Linked DNA regions of Saccharomyces cerevisiae S288C. The protein of the gene in region 1 purifies or fractionates together with the protein of each later gene. This does not show direct contact. Each region holds a gene or a part of one and is shown on either strand. Other genes may lie near its edges. The genes, in order: BRR2, LSM7, SMB1 and LSM8.

The links.
Region 2: the proteins of BRR2 (region 1) and LSM7 purify together in Saccharomyces cerevisiae (affinity purification with mass spectrometry; 6 studies listed by BioGRID, with this or other methods). This does not show direct contact.
Region 3: the proteins of BRR2 (region 1) and SMB1 purify together in Saccharomyces cerevisiae (affinity purification with mass spectrometry; 8 studies listed by BioGRID, with this or other methods). This does not show direct contact.
Region 4: the proteins of BRR2 (region 1) and LSM8 purify together in Saccharomyces cerevisiae (affinity purification with mass spectrometry; 9 studies listed by BioGRID, with this or other methods). This does not show direct contact.

What each region holds. Positions count from the first base shown.
Region 1 is NC_001137.3:530,010-537,798, forward strand, and holds the start of BRR2 (ATP-dependent RNA helicase BRR2), read right to left. Parts: upstream 6,013-7,789; coding exon 1-6,012. Other genes in the region: RAD24 (Rad24p), read left to right, coding at 6,291-7,789.
Region 2 is NC_001146.8:349,144-351,946, reverse strand, and holds LSM7 (Sm-like protein LSM7), read right to left. Parts: upstream 1,008-2,803; coding exon 990-1,007; intron 894-989; coding exon 564-893; downstream 1-563. Other genes in the region: YNL146W (uncharacterized protein), read right to left, coding at 1-232; YNL146C-A (uncharacterized protein), read left to right, coding at 367-561; ALF1 (Alf1p), read left to right, coding at 1,276-2,040; PGA2 (Pga2p), read left to right, coding at 2,191-2,580. UniProt on the Saccharomyces cerevisiae protein: Component of LSm protein complexes, which are involved in RNA processing and may function in a chaperone-like manner. Component of the cytoplasmic LSM1-LSM7 complex which is involved in mRNA degradation by activating the decapping step.
Region 3 is NC_001137.3:212,087-214,862, forward strand, and holds SMB1 (mRNA splicing protein SMB1), read right to left. Parts: upstream 1,092-2,776; coding exon 501-1,091; downstream 1-500. Other genes in the region: CHZ1 (Chz1p), read left to right, coding at 1,351-1,812; Rab family GTPase YPT31, read right to left, coding at 1,990-2,661. UniProt on the Saccharomyces cerevisiae protein: Plays a role in pre-mRNA splicing as a core component of the spliceosomal U1, U2, U4 and U5 small nuclear ribonucleoproteins (snRNPs), the building blocks of the spliceosome.
Region 4 is NC_001142.9:467,957-470,649, reverse strand, and holds LSM8 (U4/U6-U5 snRNP complex subunit LSM8), read right to left. Parts: upstream 867-2,693; coding exon 537-866; downstream 1-536. Other genes in the region: methylthioribulose 1-phosphate dehydratase MDE1, read left to right, coding at 1-420; REC107 (Rec107p), read left to right, coding at 1,071-1,386, 1,467-2,095; TES1 (palmitoyl-CoA hydrolase), read left to right, coding at 2,369-2,693. UniProt on the Saccharomyces cerevisiae protein: Component of the nuclear LSM2-LSM8 complex, which is involved in spliceosome assembly. The LSM2-LSM8 complex plays a role in the biogenesis of the spliceosomal U4/U6-U5 tri-snRNP complex by accelerating PRP24-mediated annealing of U4/U6 di-snRNA.

The DNA.
Region 1 (7,789 bases):
AATTTTGTTGTTGAAGTGTGGAATCTGTCTCAACGGATTATCAACGTCCCATACACCCTGAATCAACATCTGCGCCAAATCCATGGCGGTAGTAGCATTCAAATACCCGTTTGCTGAAAGGATATCAACCACTACGTTAATTAGTGGAACAACCTTTTCTAGAATGTCTTTTAAATCATTTTGAAAGTCGACAGGTAATTCAAGACGTGAAAAATATGCTTGTAACAATAAGAAAACTTTAAAGCTCACCGAACCAGAAGAGGTGTGTTCAGGGAATCTCAATGGTAGTCTTTTACTTAATTTGACAAGTAATGCTCTGTCTCCTTTTCTGAGTGGAACACTTTCGAATTCTACTGCTGTTGAAAGAACATACAGCATGTTTTTGAGCGTTGACGTATTCGATAAAGAAGAAACGAATGACTGAATAGTAAAAAATGATACGCCATAGTGAGAAGCAATTAGCCCGTTGCTCAAGGTAGAAATGATTTCAGTTGCTTCATCATCTCCTCCATTAACTTCTGCGGTTACTTCAGCTTCTGTATCGTCAATTTCAATGAAGGATGATTCAACTAAGTCATTCAAACAAGTTTCAACTAAATTACTCAAAAAAACTGAAATTCCATGTGGAGACGTATCCCTTACGCCATAATAGCTTGGATTCACATGGATACGACGATAGAAATACGAATATGTAAACCAGTCAACACAATCTTGTTTGCTTTGTATAATAGAATTTGCTATCTCGTTGTTCAGAGTATCATGAATAATATACTGTAGGTAACTCTCAGTAGGCAAAGGCTCAATTAAGAATTTTTTGTAGTAGGCCTTCATGTTGTGACTTGTCAAAATTAAAACCTTGCCTGCCATTGAATCGTTACCACTAGCTAGTCCCACCATTTCTAGAAGTTCATTTATGGTATATGGCATATATTTATGCTCTGCACCATCATAAAGGTTGGTTCCTAAAATAATCACTTCATCAGTTTTACAAGCGAATGCAGAACAATCCTTAGAAATGAGTAAAACCGATACCGCACCATATTCGTATAACCTTTTCACAATTCTTTCATCATTTGATGCCATCCCCTTATACAAAATACCAACACCGTGTTTTAAAGGTGCTCTTAGATGACCATCTGTTAACTTTTCAATGTATGGTACAATTTGCTCTTCTTCAACGTTCAACATATCCCATTCAATTGCTTTTGAAAACTTCATAAATGCAGACGCAACTTCCATACAATCCTTTCTAGATGGTAAGAACACCGAACTGGAATTACGATTTCCCGCTGCAGCAGCAGATGCTTCAAATGCCATTTGAAGCATCGAAAAATTGAATGATATGTGCTCAACATCTTTAAATGACTGAATATTAATTTCAAGAGGCTCAATTCTTTCGCTTGGAGAAAAGTTGTAGATGTTTGACTTCGTCATACCAGCCCATTCACCAAAATCACGAGCATTTGCCAAACAGTTCGAAAGGCAAACAAATCGAATTTTCTTTTCAAGTTGGGTTGCTATAAATATCATTCTAGAAATTAGCGTTTCATACACAGCACCGTAAACACCTTGGCTAATCTCATGAGCGTCATCATATATCATTAATTCTAAACTTTGGATGTTCTTCCTTTGTCTCCAACGACGTGACAAAAGCTCAAATTGCACGGGGGTAGCCAAGAGAACATGGCTTTTTGCTAATAATTTTAAATTTAGTGAAGGATCATTTCCTAGCTTATTTATTATCTTACCACCAGCAAGATGAGAGAACCTTTTATTCCAATCAGATAGCAAAAAATCAATTTTTTCCCCAGACGGATTGATATAAACCGCTCTTCCTTTATTCTGTCTCCAATGATTTAACAGTGCTAATTCAGCCATAGCTGTTTTACCTGTGCCCTTTCCTGAACCTACAAAGACCGAGTCATTCGAATTGTAGAGAGACTCGAAGACCTGGCTCTGAATCTTGTTGAAAGTTTTAAATTCAAATACTTCGGAAAAATCATCATTGCCAAGCTCTGATGTTGAAATACTAATATTCTCCAGAAGGGGAGTAGGAGGAGGAAATTTTTTCGGAAGTTTAAATCCATTGAAGGAAACTGGAATCTCGAATTCACTGTGCCACCAATTTTCTGATATCAAAGTAAGGAAGAAATTAGGTGGTAAGTTATTTTGATTGTGCTGCTTTAACTCATAAGTAAAGGATAAGGTAAATTCATGACCAACTATATCTGGAGTGATGAATAGTACGTCATAATAAAGTATTGAATCACCATCAGTGTCTTCTAGCATGAGCAAAAAAGGTTCAAGGGAACCGTGTACATTCATATCCCATATCCAGTCGGCTATTATTTCAATGTTGAACCTCATAACGCTACGGGTAATTGGCTGAGCGTTGCATGTTACGGACATTTTGGGAAATCTTTTCAATAAATCGTAAACCTGTTTTCCATATTTTTCAGATCTGATTGCACGACCAACTTCGGCAGGTGTTTCTAGCTGTAGATAATCTCCCCACGGTACTGTAGAGGCTTCCAGCCTTTTAATCACTTCGACAGGGCATGTTTTAAACTGTCTTAAAGGACAGTTTGTTGGCCACATTTTAGTTGTGGCAGATTTGCAAAGATTTAACAACATCCGTGTGGGATGTCCCCATCCTCTCTTCAAGCATATTTCAAACATAGCACGCAATAACCTACCAGCATTTTGGTGAATAAACACTATATCAGAATTAAGTGCAAAACCTTCGAACTTTAGCTGGGAAAAATAAGACTGCAGTAGTACATTCACTTTTGCTAAAGGATCATCAATATCTTCTCTGATAGGAATGGGTGCTTTCTCTAGAAGTTGTTTTAGTTCTCTTTTCTCTTCATATCTCACCGATACGTACTTAAACTCTTCCGACATTGAGAATATTCTAAAAAGATCAATCTGAGTTGTATGTTCATCTAACTCTCTATTGTAAACATCCATGGAAGCATGATTTATGTAAAATGACGACGCTATATTTCCTAGATCGGTCGCCTCAATTACATCATTTTCAGCATCATATAACACCAACTCTTGTTCTTTTAAAATGCATAGGGCCGAATGGACTAAGCTTTCTCTAAACTTTTTCAATTGCCCATCACTTGAAATATCAGGTACTTTGTAAAGCATAGGGGAAGCTAACATTCTGACATATAGGTAAGTATACGCCAACCAATTCACAGCATCATTCCTGCACTTAATGTTACCCGCGACAACTTCTGCATTTAAGTTGTCAACTAATTTTGAAACAAATTGCGATTCTATTGGTAATTGTTGATTTAAAACCGAGAGATAATATTGAACATTCGATTGGTCTGTTATTATAATACCCTCGCCAAATGTGTCATATCTCGGTCTGCCTGCTCTACCTAACATTTGAAGTACATCTTGTGGAGAAAGTTGTTCCCAGGACCCCTTTTCAGGTGAATAGACATCTGTTCCTTTTATAATCACTGTATGAGCAGGTAGATTAACACCCCATGCTAACGTCGCAGTGCATACCAATACTTGCAACAACCCGTCTGCAAATAAATCTTCAGATAAGGATCTGTCACTTCTGGTCAGCCCTGCGTGATGCGTCCCTATACCGCTTTCAATCAACTTTCGTAGACTTGGATCGAGTACGTTGGCTGCTTCTGTCTTTAAAATCTGCTTCGATCCTGCATCATTTTTGGTTAATTTATGAGTAATGTTCTCTTCAGCAAATTTATTTTTCAACCATGTTGCTGTTCGTGATGTTTCTTTTCGAGAATGAACAAACACGATTATTTGATTACCTTCATTGATGGATTCCAATACCTTTTCATAACAAGCATCATTCATAGCCTTCAGCTTTTTCAAGGAGTTCCGTTCCTTAATGCCACAAAACTGTTGAGATAGAGGACACGGTCTAAATGAGGAGTCAAAATAAAACAATCCTTCCTTCGGAACTCTTAAAAACCTACCGACATCCTCATAATTTGGTAAGGTGGCAGAAAGGCCTATTATTCTGGGGTATTCCTGGCCATATTTGGAAGCCCAAAATGTCCTAGCCACGATGCTTTCCAATACTGGTCCCCTGTCATCATGTAACAAATGTATTTCATCTATAATCAACAAACGAACAAGTTCTACGATGGCCAAATTATTTGAATTTCTAGTAGTTATGTCCCATTTCTCTGGCGTAGACACCAAAACCTGCGTCTCGTCAATTTGCTTTCTACTAAGCCTAGAATCACCAGTCAATTCAGCGACTTTTATACCTAGAAAAGCCAACCTCCTTTGAAATTCTCGGACTTGTTCCTGTACTAAGGCTTTCAAGGGTGCTATATAAACAATTTTAAATGCAGAAAGGTTTAATTTCTTAGTTTTCGGGTTATAATGATGGGATAAGGCTTTCAATACCGTCAATAACGCGATATTCGTCTTACCTGAACCAGTGGGTGCACATATTAGCATGTTTGAATCACCTTCAAATGCTGCGTGAAAAACCTTTGATTGTATAGGGTTTAAGGACGTTGTTTCCGATGAAGGAAACGCCTCCTGACACCAATCTGGTAGAGAAGTAATTTCTTTCAACTCATAATCAATAACAGGTTTGCTAGGAGCTGGAATATGTATTTCGTCATATTGTGGTTTCACCCTTTTGAATGATCCTTCCGGTAGGGATACTTTTGTCACGGTCATTAATTTAGAACTTTCGTCGAATTTAATCTTTTCCAAATCTATGACGGGCGGTATTGCTGGATTACTGAATTTTGTTCTTTTTGCTTCCGAAGACTGTGGCTGGTCGTCACCGGAATCGAGTTCACGCTTTGAGTGTGTAGTTTCTCTAAATTTATACTGTTCCACAAGATCATTCAAACCTTTTGCAACCATTTTCTCTATTAAGTTCGGTATTTCATTCTCTGTGCTCTTCGCCAGTCGTATGCCCCAAAAAATTGTAGATCTATTCTTGAGAATAAATTCAGCCAGTGATATATTCTCGAATTTAAGCAGATCAACCAACTTCTGCTCCAACGCTACTGGATTATGCTCAAGTGTTTCAATATCATTCAAAATTTTTTCTGACAGGTCTTGTATTACAGAGGTATCCTTGTAACCAAGCTCTGACCGAAGTTTTCTCTGCAAAAAAAATTCATCGATTGAGTATATCGGAACGCTCTCGATATTACTTGTTTTACTATCGGAGAGTTTAATTATATCGTTTTCAATGTTTGGCAATGCCCTCTTGTTTTTTTTTTTAGAATTGACTTCAACGTCATTGTAATCATATTCCTCATCATCATCTTCATTATCATTGATTTCTCCCCCAAGAACATTAGCATTGTTGGACATTTCTGTTACTTCTTCTTCATCTGATTTTTCATCATCGGCAAGAATTGCTACTGCTTGTTTATTGCTATTGTCAGGATGTGTTTCATAATCGGTAATGTTTTTCATAAGTTTAACTAATTCGTTAAACTTCAGGGAGTCTATATTGATGCCTAGCTCATGCTGGATCTTTTCCTTTCGCTCTTCAATATTACCATCCTCATTTTCCTCATTTTCTTTCAATTGTCTGATGAATATATCAGCAGTTCCAATAATAAGATCATGGGGTATATCATTGCCTAAAACTTCTGTAACCCACTGCAAAATCTGCTCGTAAGTTTCGACATTTGAGGGATCCTTTGGATAATAATGTAACCTGAAATCGGAGGAAGAATTCAAAATGGTGTTATGCTGCTGAATTTTTTTCAATGATGCGCTCTTTCCAGTTTTTTCAACGGCTACATCATTTTCTTTTAGTCCTTTATTAATGTTATTGCACAGGCCCTGTCCCATATCCTTAGCACTAATTCTACCACTCATGGATTTTGGTTGTGATATTTCCGCATCCCTTTGAGGATTTTGGCTGGTATTCATAAAGCGTTTATCAACTTTCAACACCTTATTGGACATCTCATCATAACGATAAATTTCTCTAATTTTTTTGGCCTTATCCTTCGTTTCATGCTCAGTCATTTTTAATAACGAAGGCTCACGGTAAATCTTCCAAAGCAATTACTTATATTTACCTTCACCTTATTTTACTCAAGATTATCTCTATTAGTGTATTATTCCTTTATAGTAGACATAGCTTTAGTAGCATAAATTTTTAATATTCTCGTAAAGAGCGACAATATTCAATATTAGATCGTCAAAGAAGCAAACACGCATTGATATCTGAGAGATCATCACAATGCGTTAATAGTACTTGATTCAACACCACTAATTATCAAGTTTGTTCCTGTCTGAATGATATGGATAGTACGAATTTGAACAAACGGCCCTTATTACAATATAGTCTCAGTTCATTGGGCTCGCAAATAACAAAATGGAGCTCATCTAGACCGACTTCGCCAGTTCGTAAGGCGAGAAGCACTGAAAATGACTTTCTTTCCAAGCAAGATACGTCTAGTATCCTCCCAAGTATCAACGACGACGGCGGTGAACAGTGGTACGAAAAGTTCAAGCCCAATTGTTTGGAGCAAGTGGCCATACATAAAAGAAAACTTAAAGATGTACAAGAAGCTTTAGATGCCATGTTTTTACCTAACGCCAAGCATAGGATCCTACTACTGTCTGGCCCCAGTGGATGCTCTAAAAGTACGGTCATAAAAGAACTCTCAAAAATCTTAGTTCCTAAATACAGACAAAACAGCAACGGAACGTCCTTTCGAAGCACCCCGAACGAGCATAAAGTGACCGAGTTTAGAGGTGATTGTATAGTCAACGATCTTCCTCAGATGGAAAGCTTTAGTGAGTTCTTAAAAGGCGCACGGTATCTTGTGATGTCCAACCTGTCATTAATACTTATCGAGGACCTTCCCAACGTCTTCCATATAGATACCAGACGTCGATTTCAACAACTTATATTACAGTGGCTATATAGTTCGGAGCCTCTATTACCTCCCCTTGTTATATGTATAACTGAATGTGAAATTCCAGAGAACGATAATAATTATCGCAAATTTGGTATTGATTATACATTTAGTGCAGAAACCATAATGAACAAAGAAATATTGATGCATCCAAGGTTGAAAAGAATTAAGTTTAATCCAATTAACAGCACTTTATTAAAAAAGCACTTGAAATTTATTTGTGTACAGAATATGAAAATGTTGAAGGAGAAAAATAAATGGAATAAAAGACAGGAAGTCATAGATTATATTGCGCAAGAGACTGGTGATATTAGGTCGGCCATTACGACCCTTCAATTTTGGGCGACATCAAGTGGAAGTTTGCCGATTTCAACCCGAGAATCCACCATATCATACTTTCATGCCATTGGGAAGGTGATACATGGTTCCCATAGCACGAATAACGATAACGAAATGATTAATAACCTCTTCGAAAATTCGAACAATTTGTTATCGAAAGAGGATTTCAAATTAGGAATATTAGAGAACTATAACACATTTAATAAAGGCGAATTCAGCATTTCTGATGCATCATCAATTGTGGATTGCCTGAGCGAGTGTGATAATATGAATGGTCTACCAGAATCCAATGAGTATGGTTTACGAGAAGTGCGCAAAACCTTTCGTAACATCAGTAAACAAGGCCATAATCATGGAACGGTTTATTTTCCAAGAGAATGGAAAGTAAGAAAATTACAAAATTCATTTAAAGTTCAAGCTGAAGATTGGTTAAATGTTAGTCTTTATAAGTACAACGCGGTACATTCTTTCAGGAATATAACTCTAGAATTTGGCTACTACGCACCTCTAATTAGAAAGTGTCAGAGTTATAAAAAAAA
Region 2 (2,803 bases), on another chromosome or scaffold:
TGTTAACATCATCAAAATCCACCAAGTTTTCCGAGAAAATAGATGAGGGCCTGTTATTATTACTAACTGAGTTTGAATTCTTTTTGTAAAATCGTGGCAGTAGTTCTTGAAATGTCATTTTGAAGGACACTGAGTTTCGAAATATCAACATTATGAGTATGAATAAAAGTGTAAGGATAATGATCCTTTTGAGTTCCATGTGATGAGAAGTGGTATGCTTAGTATTGCTCATACTGGACAAATACGAAAGGAATCAGTAAATAATTAAGATTGTAGAGGGAGGGGTGTATGTGTATGCGGATACTTTTTTGATTTGGCAGAAGGAAAATTGGTATTGGCAGCTGTACAGTGACTCCCCTTATACAAATGATCTCAGTTTGTTTCGTTTTTCCTCATTCTCTGGCTTTAGACTTCAAATCGCGGTGTAAAAAAAATAGGACAAAACTATGTAGCGCATACTATGTCAGTCAGGTATTGAGAATATGTAAAGAAATGCCATACCGTGATTTGATTTTGTTTTCAACTGTAAGGAAGGGAGTTTATATGAGATTATATTATTAAACCTATTTTTGCATATATAGTACATCAGAACCTTCGGCGGAACTTAAAGAGACCAAAATAGTACCTCTTATGACGGTCAAACCTAGCTTTCTTGCGTTTTTAGAAATCAGTTCAGTGTTGTTTTCATCATCAGGATTAGACATATATTCTACTGTATCATCAAGTACCAAGTTCATCAGTTGATCATAGCCTTTTAGGACACCTATAACTAATTTACCACCCATTAATTTGACGCGAATTTTAGAATCTTTATACTTCGCTAAATCCAGAATAGCTTCTCTTTTAGGGCCTTCGAATTTTTTCCTTTGCTGTTGTGGTTTGTTCTCTGATTTCTTAGTTCAAAAAGGAAACATAGTTATTATAATGTTAGTATAAATAAGTCAAAAGGAAGGTTATTGCCACGGAAGAAAATAAGAAGTGAAACATACGGAGTGTTGCTGATGCATGTTTTTTTGGTTAATGTTCTGTGTAGTAAACAAAGTGCTGCTCTCAAATAACTTTCTTTTTTACTGTAGTAGTATACACGTACATGCGTATTCTTAATTGTCGTTTCCCAGTTGTCTGTTTTCAGCTACAGCTTTTTTCGCCTTTGTTCGAAAGAACAGTACTTTTTTCCGGCTCGCAGGGAAACGGCAGTTGAAGAAGACAAGCGACAAGAACATAGAGCAACGAATTCAAATAAAGAGATAGAAAAAAAAATTACATGGCAAAACTATGGTTAGAGTTGTCATAGAGAGTGAATTGGTCCGTACAGAAAAGGAATTACCAAATTCGCTTAAATTAAGGCAGTTCAAGGACCGATTGTACCATGTTACCGGAGTGGAACCAGAGGATATGGAAATAGTTGTGAAAAGACAGTACGACAACAAGGAGATATATAGTACTAAAAAGGGGGGTGCCTATTCAAATGAGGATGAAGATGCCAACTTCCTAAAAGGAGAGGAGGAGCTTATTGTGGTTGTTACAGACTCTAATGCCCAATCAATCTCTAACCAGCTGGCCACGCAAGCGGAAGGAATCCCCTCAATGGAAGTAATTAGCGAGGAGGATTATTTGCGAAGGGATCAATCCGTATTACGATGGAAGATGGCTCACGGCTATGGTAGGTTTAATGCTGCACAGCAGAGCCAGCGCGCTGCGCTGGCAAAGCAGGACGAAGCATATGCCCGAGAGCAATTAACGGCGGCTATCGGCCGCCACTGTCGTGTCACAGTAGACGGGAGCGCTCCACGTGAGGCCATTTTACGGTACGTAGGACCACTACCGTTGGACGTGATGGGCACATGGTGCGGTGTGGAATTCCCGGAAGCCGCAGGCAAAAACGATGGGCGCATAAATGGGGTAACACTGTTTGGGCCTGTGGCGCCGGGTCACGGATCGTTTGTGCGTCCGCGGGCTGTGGAAATTCTATCAAAAGACGAAGAATCCGCCGAGGTGGAAGACGTCCATGATGACGTGGAGAGCGATGATGAAATTTGAATTTGTGCAGAATTAGCGCGGTGGCGGTTTAGTTAGTGATCTCCATCCGATGTCAACATATTATTATTTGTAGTTGTATTTATGTGCACTCGGCGGTTTGTATGAGGAAAAGATGTTATGAAGAGAAAAACTGCCGAGTAATTGAAAGAGATGTCTGAAGTAGCGGAAACATGGGTGGATACCTGGATGGCAAAACTAGTCAACTATGACTACAAGCACTTTATAAGATTGGTGATAATTGTAGGTGGTTATTTACTCTTAAGAAATATCGCATCCAGGGAATTGGCGAAGAAGCAGTTGGCTGCCCAAGTGGAAAAGGACAAACGAGACAAAGAGGAAAAGAGATCAAAAGACCTGATCGACAAGCCAGATGATGCTGCAACAGCAGAAACAACTTCTTTCGGTTGGGGTAAGAAAACTAGAAGAAGAGTTAAAAGACAACAGGAGTTGTTTGAAAACGCTTTGGAAGAGGCTAAGAGAAGAAACCAAGGGTTGGACCCAGATAGTGATGCTGATATTGAGGAACTACTGGAAGAATAGGCTCTCTGTGTATGTATGGGTTCCTCTTTGTCATTGTGACATTGTTTTGTTTTTAGTTTTTCTATAGTTTTCTGATAAAATAGTCTAACCATTACCGATGTTGCTACTTGCATCATTCTCAACGTCTAATCAACTTGCGTTTGCGTCTCAAATTGAGTTTGTAGGTTACGTGTCGCCTTAATAGTCAGCAAATGCCGACGTTTGTGAGACGGATAACGACTGC
Region 3 (2,776 bases), 320 kb from region 1:
GGGAGCTAAATCATTTATACACGGAAAAATTAGTGAAGGATTTTTTGGTGGGGTCTCCAAGGAAGTAATTTCTACGGTGTGGTCTATGTATGTTTTTCCGGACGCGTTCCGCCGTTTTGGTTTCTGCCCCAGAACACCCCCCATAAAAGAGGTTTTTCCGAAGAGTGCCTTTCAGTTTTTCCGAGATCTTTATCTTTTTCATCCGTATTATGTAAACCTGAATAGCCCCTTGAGCAATTGAGTTGCATAATAGCATGCAATTGCATATTGAACCTCCTAGGACTTAAAGGTTATTCGTCAACTAAGGAAAAATATGCTCATAACTTACATATCTCGTACACCCTAAAATCCCACACAGGGATTAAAATTAAAATTATGTTTAGGTAATGAAAAAATAGTAAAAAAATGCTTCCTTAAGTTAATTATGAATTTCCCTATTAACACACATGCGTACACAAAAAAAGTATACGGAAACTATATTAGACTACACTACATCAACCTTATTTTCTTTTAAAACCTGGTGGGGGCTGAAACTTCCTTGTTTGAGGGGGCGCTTCATTATTAAACCTCGACCTATTTGCGCCGATATTATCGTTGCCACCATTGTATCTGCTCGACGATGGTTGGGCAATCTCCCTAGAATTGCTACTAGTATGCTTCGCATTGGCCGTGTTAGGTTTAGCGATCTTTCCCGGCTTTTTCTCTTTCTCTTTTCTTAGTTTCGTCTGCTTTTGCGCTTGTTTCTTTTCCTTTTTATCTCTCACTAGTCTTTCCTTCTTGGATAGTAGCGGCTTATCCTCCACCACTGTGGATAAGATCTGTTCTCCTCTTAGTATAGTCAGTCCCAACACTCTTTTTTCTACCTTGATGTTCAAAGTGGTTCCATCTTTTGAATCTTTTCTCGGTCTTAATTTATCTAGTTGAGTTTTGGGTACCCTCTCTTCTATACACTCATTCAACACTAAATTCATATGTTTATCAAATGCCATCAATTGCCCGATGTAAACGCGGCCATCTTGAGTGAGAACCCTCAGCTTATAATCAATAAGGTTGGCTAGTCGGCTGCTATGTGCCACCTGTATTTTGCTCATTAGTTATTTACTTTACTGGAAACCTGTTATACGGATGGTTCTGTTACCCCTTCTACTTTTTTCCCTGTCTTGTTCATTTCTAACTAGCATAGGCTTCTTTAAATTTCATTTTTTATTTTCATAATTTTTATTTTGAATTTTTTCCCACATTATCGTGAGAAAAACAAGAACATGGAGAAATAAGGAAGCTCGGTGGGTGGTTAATTGGGGAACACACCTGGTAAGTAAAATTCAATACATGGAAGGAAAGAGAGAAATAATGTCTGACGAAGCAAAGGAAAAGCGTGAATTAGAAAGCCAAAAGGAATCAAGTCATAATAAATCCGAAAAGTCTGTGGAACCTAAGCCAAAGAGAAGAAGAAGAAGAAACTATGACGATTATGACGCTGAAGTAGCAAAAGAGGAGACTAAGGCTAAAAATGGTTTGACGAAGAGCGAAAATAATGGTACTGTTGAAGATTCTGAATCTGATATGGACGATGCCAAGTTAGACGCATTGATGGGAAATGAGGGAGAAGAAGAAGAGGACGATTTGGCAGAAATTGATACCTCTAATATCATCACATCCGGAAGAAGAACACGCGGCAAAGTAATTGACTATAAAAAGACTGCAGAAGAATTAGACAAGAAGGAACCTAGCACAGGCTCTAAAGATGATGTAGGATATGGTGAAAAAGAAGAAGACGATGAAGACGAAGAAGACGATGATTTTAAAGAGTAGTAAGCAAAATGTCGTACATACCGGCCTCTACTTGTGTATTCTGTTTACTTCAATTTCCTATATGCGTTCTATATGTATATAAACTATATGTCAGCAGAAAATTGTAAAAATATAGCACAGAATTAAAGGGGAGAAGAGTCATTCACATGCAAGTGCGCAACTGCTGCAAAATATCTCTTAACAACAGTTATTTCCATTTGCCTTTTTGTTTTCGTTTGGTGTTGGTGTCAGACTAATCGTTGGTCCATTAGGAGCGGACGCACCATTGGCATTCCCGTTGGCACTGGAGTCACCAAGGTCCATTTGATGCTTGCTGACCTTTTGATAGATGGTATTGATTAACTCTTCAAAAGCCTTATCCACGTTTTCACTGTTCAAAGCACTTGTTTCTGTGAATAATAACTGATTTTCCTGTGCAAAAGTCTTGGACTCCTCCGTAGGTACAGCACGTAAATGGGCCAAATCAGACTTGTTACCGATAAGCCCCACTGCGACGTTGTCATCTGCATTTTCTCTTAATTCTGATAACCAATGATTACAATTTTCATATGAGCTTGATTTACTGATATCGTAAACGATCAAGGCACCTACAGCTCCTCTATAATAAGCAGAAGTAATGGCTCTGTAACGTTCCTGGCCCGCAGTATCCCAAATCTGCGCCTTGATCCTCTTGCCATCAATTTCCAAAGTTCTGGTGGCAAACTCAACCCCAATTGTAGACTTTGAATCCATATTGAATTCGTTCTTCGTAAATCTTGACAATAGATTGGATTTCCCTACCCCGGAATCACCGATCAGTACAATTTTAAATAGTAGGTCGTAATCATACCCGTAGTCCTCGCTGCTCATTGTTGAAATCCCCAGACGCCGTCAGAATCCCTTTGCTGGCCTAAACAAAGTGCCTTGTAATAAAGGTCAAATTGTTATTCGTTTCTTTCTTGAAAAGTTTTGAGTTTCCCTCTTT
Region 4 (2,693 bases), on another chromosome or scaffold:
ATACATACACACTCCCAAAATGCTGTGATATGCTCCTTGCTATTTGGCGATGAGTTCAGGATTGCTAACATCGAACAAATCAAAGCAATTCCAAGCGGAAAGGTGGACCCTGTGACCAAGAAACCCATGGCGCTATCGTTTTTTGATACGCTGAAGATTCCCATCATTGAAAACATGGCGCATGAGGACGAGTTGATCGATGACTTGCACAAGACTTTTAAAGATTATCCAGACACATGCGCCGTAATTGTGAGGAGACATGGCATTTTTGTTTGGGGTCCGACAATCGATAAGGCCAAAATTTTCAACGAAGCCATCGATTATTTGATGGAGCTGGCCATAAAGATGTACCAAATGGGGATTCCTCCCGACTGTGGCATTGGCGAAGAGAAGAAGCATCTGAAGATGGCCAGTCCGTGACGGGTTAATGCTTAAATTTATTGTATGATTTATATACTTCTATACATGGTATTATTATTATTATTATTATTATTATTATTATTATTATTATTATTATTACTATTATTGCAACTATATTATTTTGTCTTTGATTCGTACACTTTTTCCCATATTACATGCTCATTTTCGATTTTATTCTTGGTGTCCTTTAGCATTGGGACCTTCTTTTCGTCTATAGGAGCTAGACTGTCATCATTTTCTGCATCTATGAGGCCAACAAGAGCAATCTCGCTGCCTCGAAGTAACTGTGCCTTGCAGATGAATTCCTTGCTTATGCGGTTGAAAACATTGGTTATGAATAGATTAGTATTTTTGTCGAAGCCGTTTAGGCTTGCTATGAGGCATTCGCCGTCAACTTTGATTATAACAACTCTTTTATTTAAGTAGTCTTTCAAGGTGGCTGACATGGTGCACGATAGTGTGTTCTTCTTGTATGGTGTACTGTATGCAGCTTGCTGGTCCATCTTATAAGAACCACGTAAGATTAGTTTTTTTTTTTCCCTTTACGCCATGATAGTATTTTCAGGACTTAAAGGGAAAATCAACAAGAACAGAAAGAAGGAAAACAAGCAAAACAAGGATACTGCAGACGTGTAGAAACATTTAGTAAAATGGTCGCTAGAGGTAGAACAGACGAGATATCTACAGATGTTTCAGAGGCTAATTCTGAACACTCGTTGATGATTACAGAAACATCATCACCGTTCAGATCTATATTCTCCCACAGTGGGAAAGTAGCGAATGCAGGCGCTTTAGAGGAATCGGACAAGCAGATACTGGAATGGGCAGGTAAACTGGAATTGGAGAGTATGGAGCTGAGGGAAAACTCTGACAAGCTAATTAAAGTTTTAAATGAAAATTCTAAGACATTATGTAAATCGCTAAACAAGTTTAACCAGCTACTGGAACAAGATGCTGCTACGAACGGTTCGTACCAACACAGTGCATACCCTCAAGTTTTTTATTCATTTTCTTCCAAAACACATTTACTAACAACTGTAGTATAGGAAACGTGAAAACCTTAATAAAGGATTTGGCTTCCCAGATTGAAAACCAACTGGACAAAGTGTCAACAGCAATGTTATCGAAAGGCGACGAGAAGAAGACAAAGTCGGATTCCAGCTACAGGCAGGTATTAGTCGAAGAAATAAGCAGGTATAATTCCAAGATAACGCGACACGTAACTAACAAGCAGCATGAGACGGAAAAGTCGATGAGGTGCACCCAGGAGATGCTCTTCAACGTCGGCAGCCAACTGGAGGACGTGCATAAAGTGCTCCTGTCTCTATCCAAAGACATGCACAGTCTACAAACCCGCCAGACTGCTCTAGAGATGGCGTTTCGAGAAAAGGCAGATCACGCCTACGATCGCCCGGATGTGTCTCTGAATGGCACCACACTCCTGCACGATATGGACGAAGCCCACGATAAGCAGCGTAAGAAGTCCGTGCCGCCACCAAGAATGATGGTCACAAGGTCCATGAAACGCAGAAGATCCAGCTCCCCAACCCTATCCACCAGCCAAAACCACAATAGCGAAGACAATGATGACGCTAGCCATCGGCTGAAGCGTGCGGCCAGGACCATTATTCCCTGGGAGGAACTAAGACCCGACACTCTGGAATCTGAGCTGTGAAACGGGCGTCCTGCTTTTTCATTCTACACAGGCATATGTAACAGCAGTGTATAGGCTATGTAAATCGGCCCAATCAACAAACAAGCGTTGCTTATTGGACTTGCTACTACCCCAACAAAGGAGAGAGCCTTTGATTGCATCCTCGGAAGAGACGGCATAAACACCGAGCCTCATCCTACAATGAAAAACCACGCCAGTTGGATATAAACCAGAAAAGGGTTTCAATTCAGTATCCACCATGAGCAAGACAAGATAAGACAAGATTGCATAAAAATGAGTGCTTCCAAAATGGCCATGTCCAACCTAGAGAAAATATTGGAACTGGTTCCTCTTTCGCCTACCAGTTTTGTCACAAAGTATCTGCCTGCCGCGCCCGTAGGGTCTAAGGGCACTTTTGGTGGAACGCTGGTATCACAATCGCTGCTGGCGTCATTGCATACTGTGCCATTGAACTTCTTCCCCACATCGCTACATTCGTATTTCATCAAGGGTGGTGATCCGCGGACCAAGATCACGTACCATGTGCAGAATCTGAGAAACGGTAGAAATTTCATCCATAAGCAGGTTAGTGCTTATCAGCACGACAAGTTGATATTTA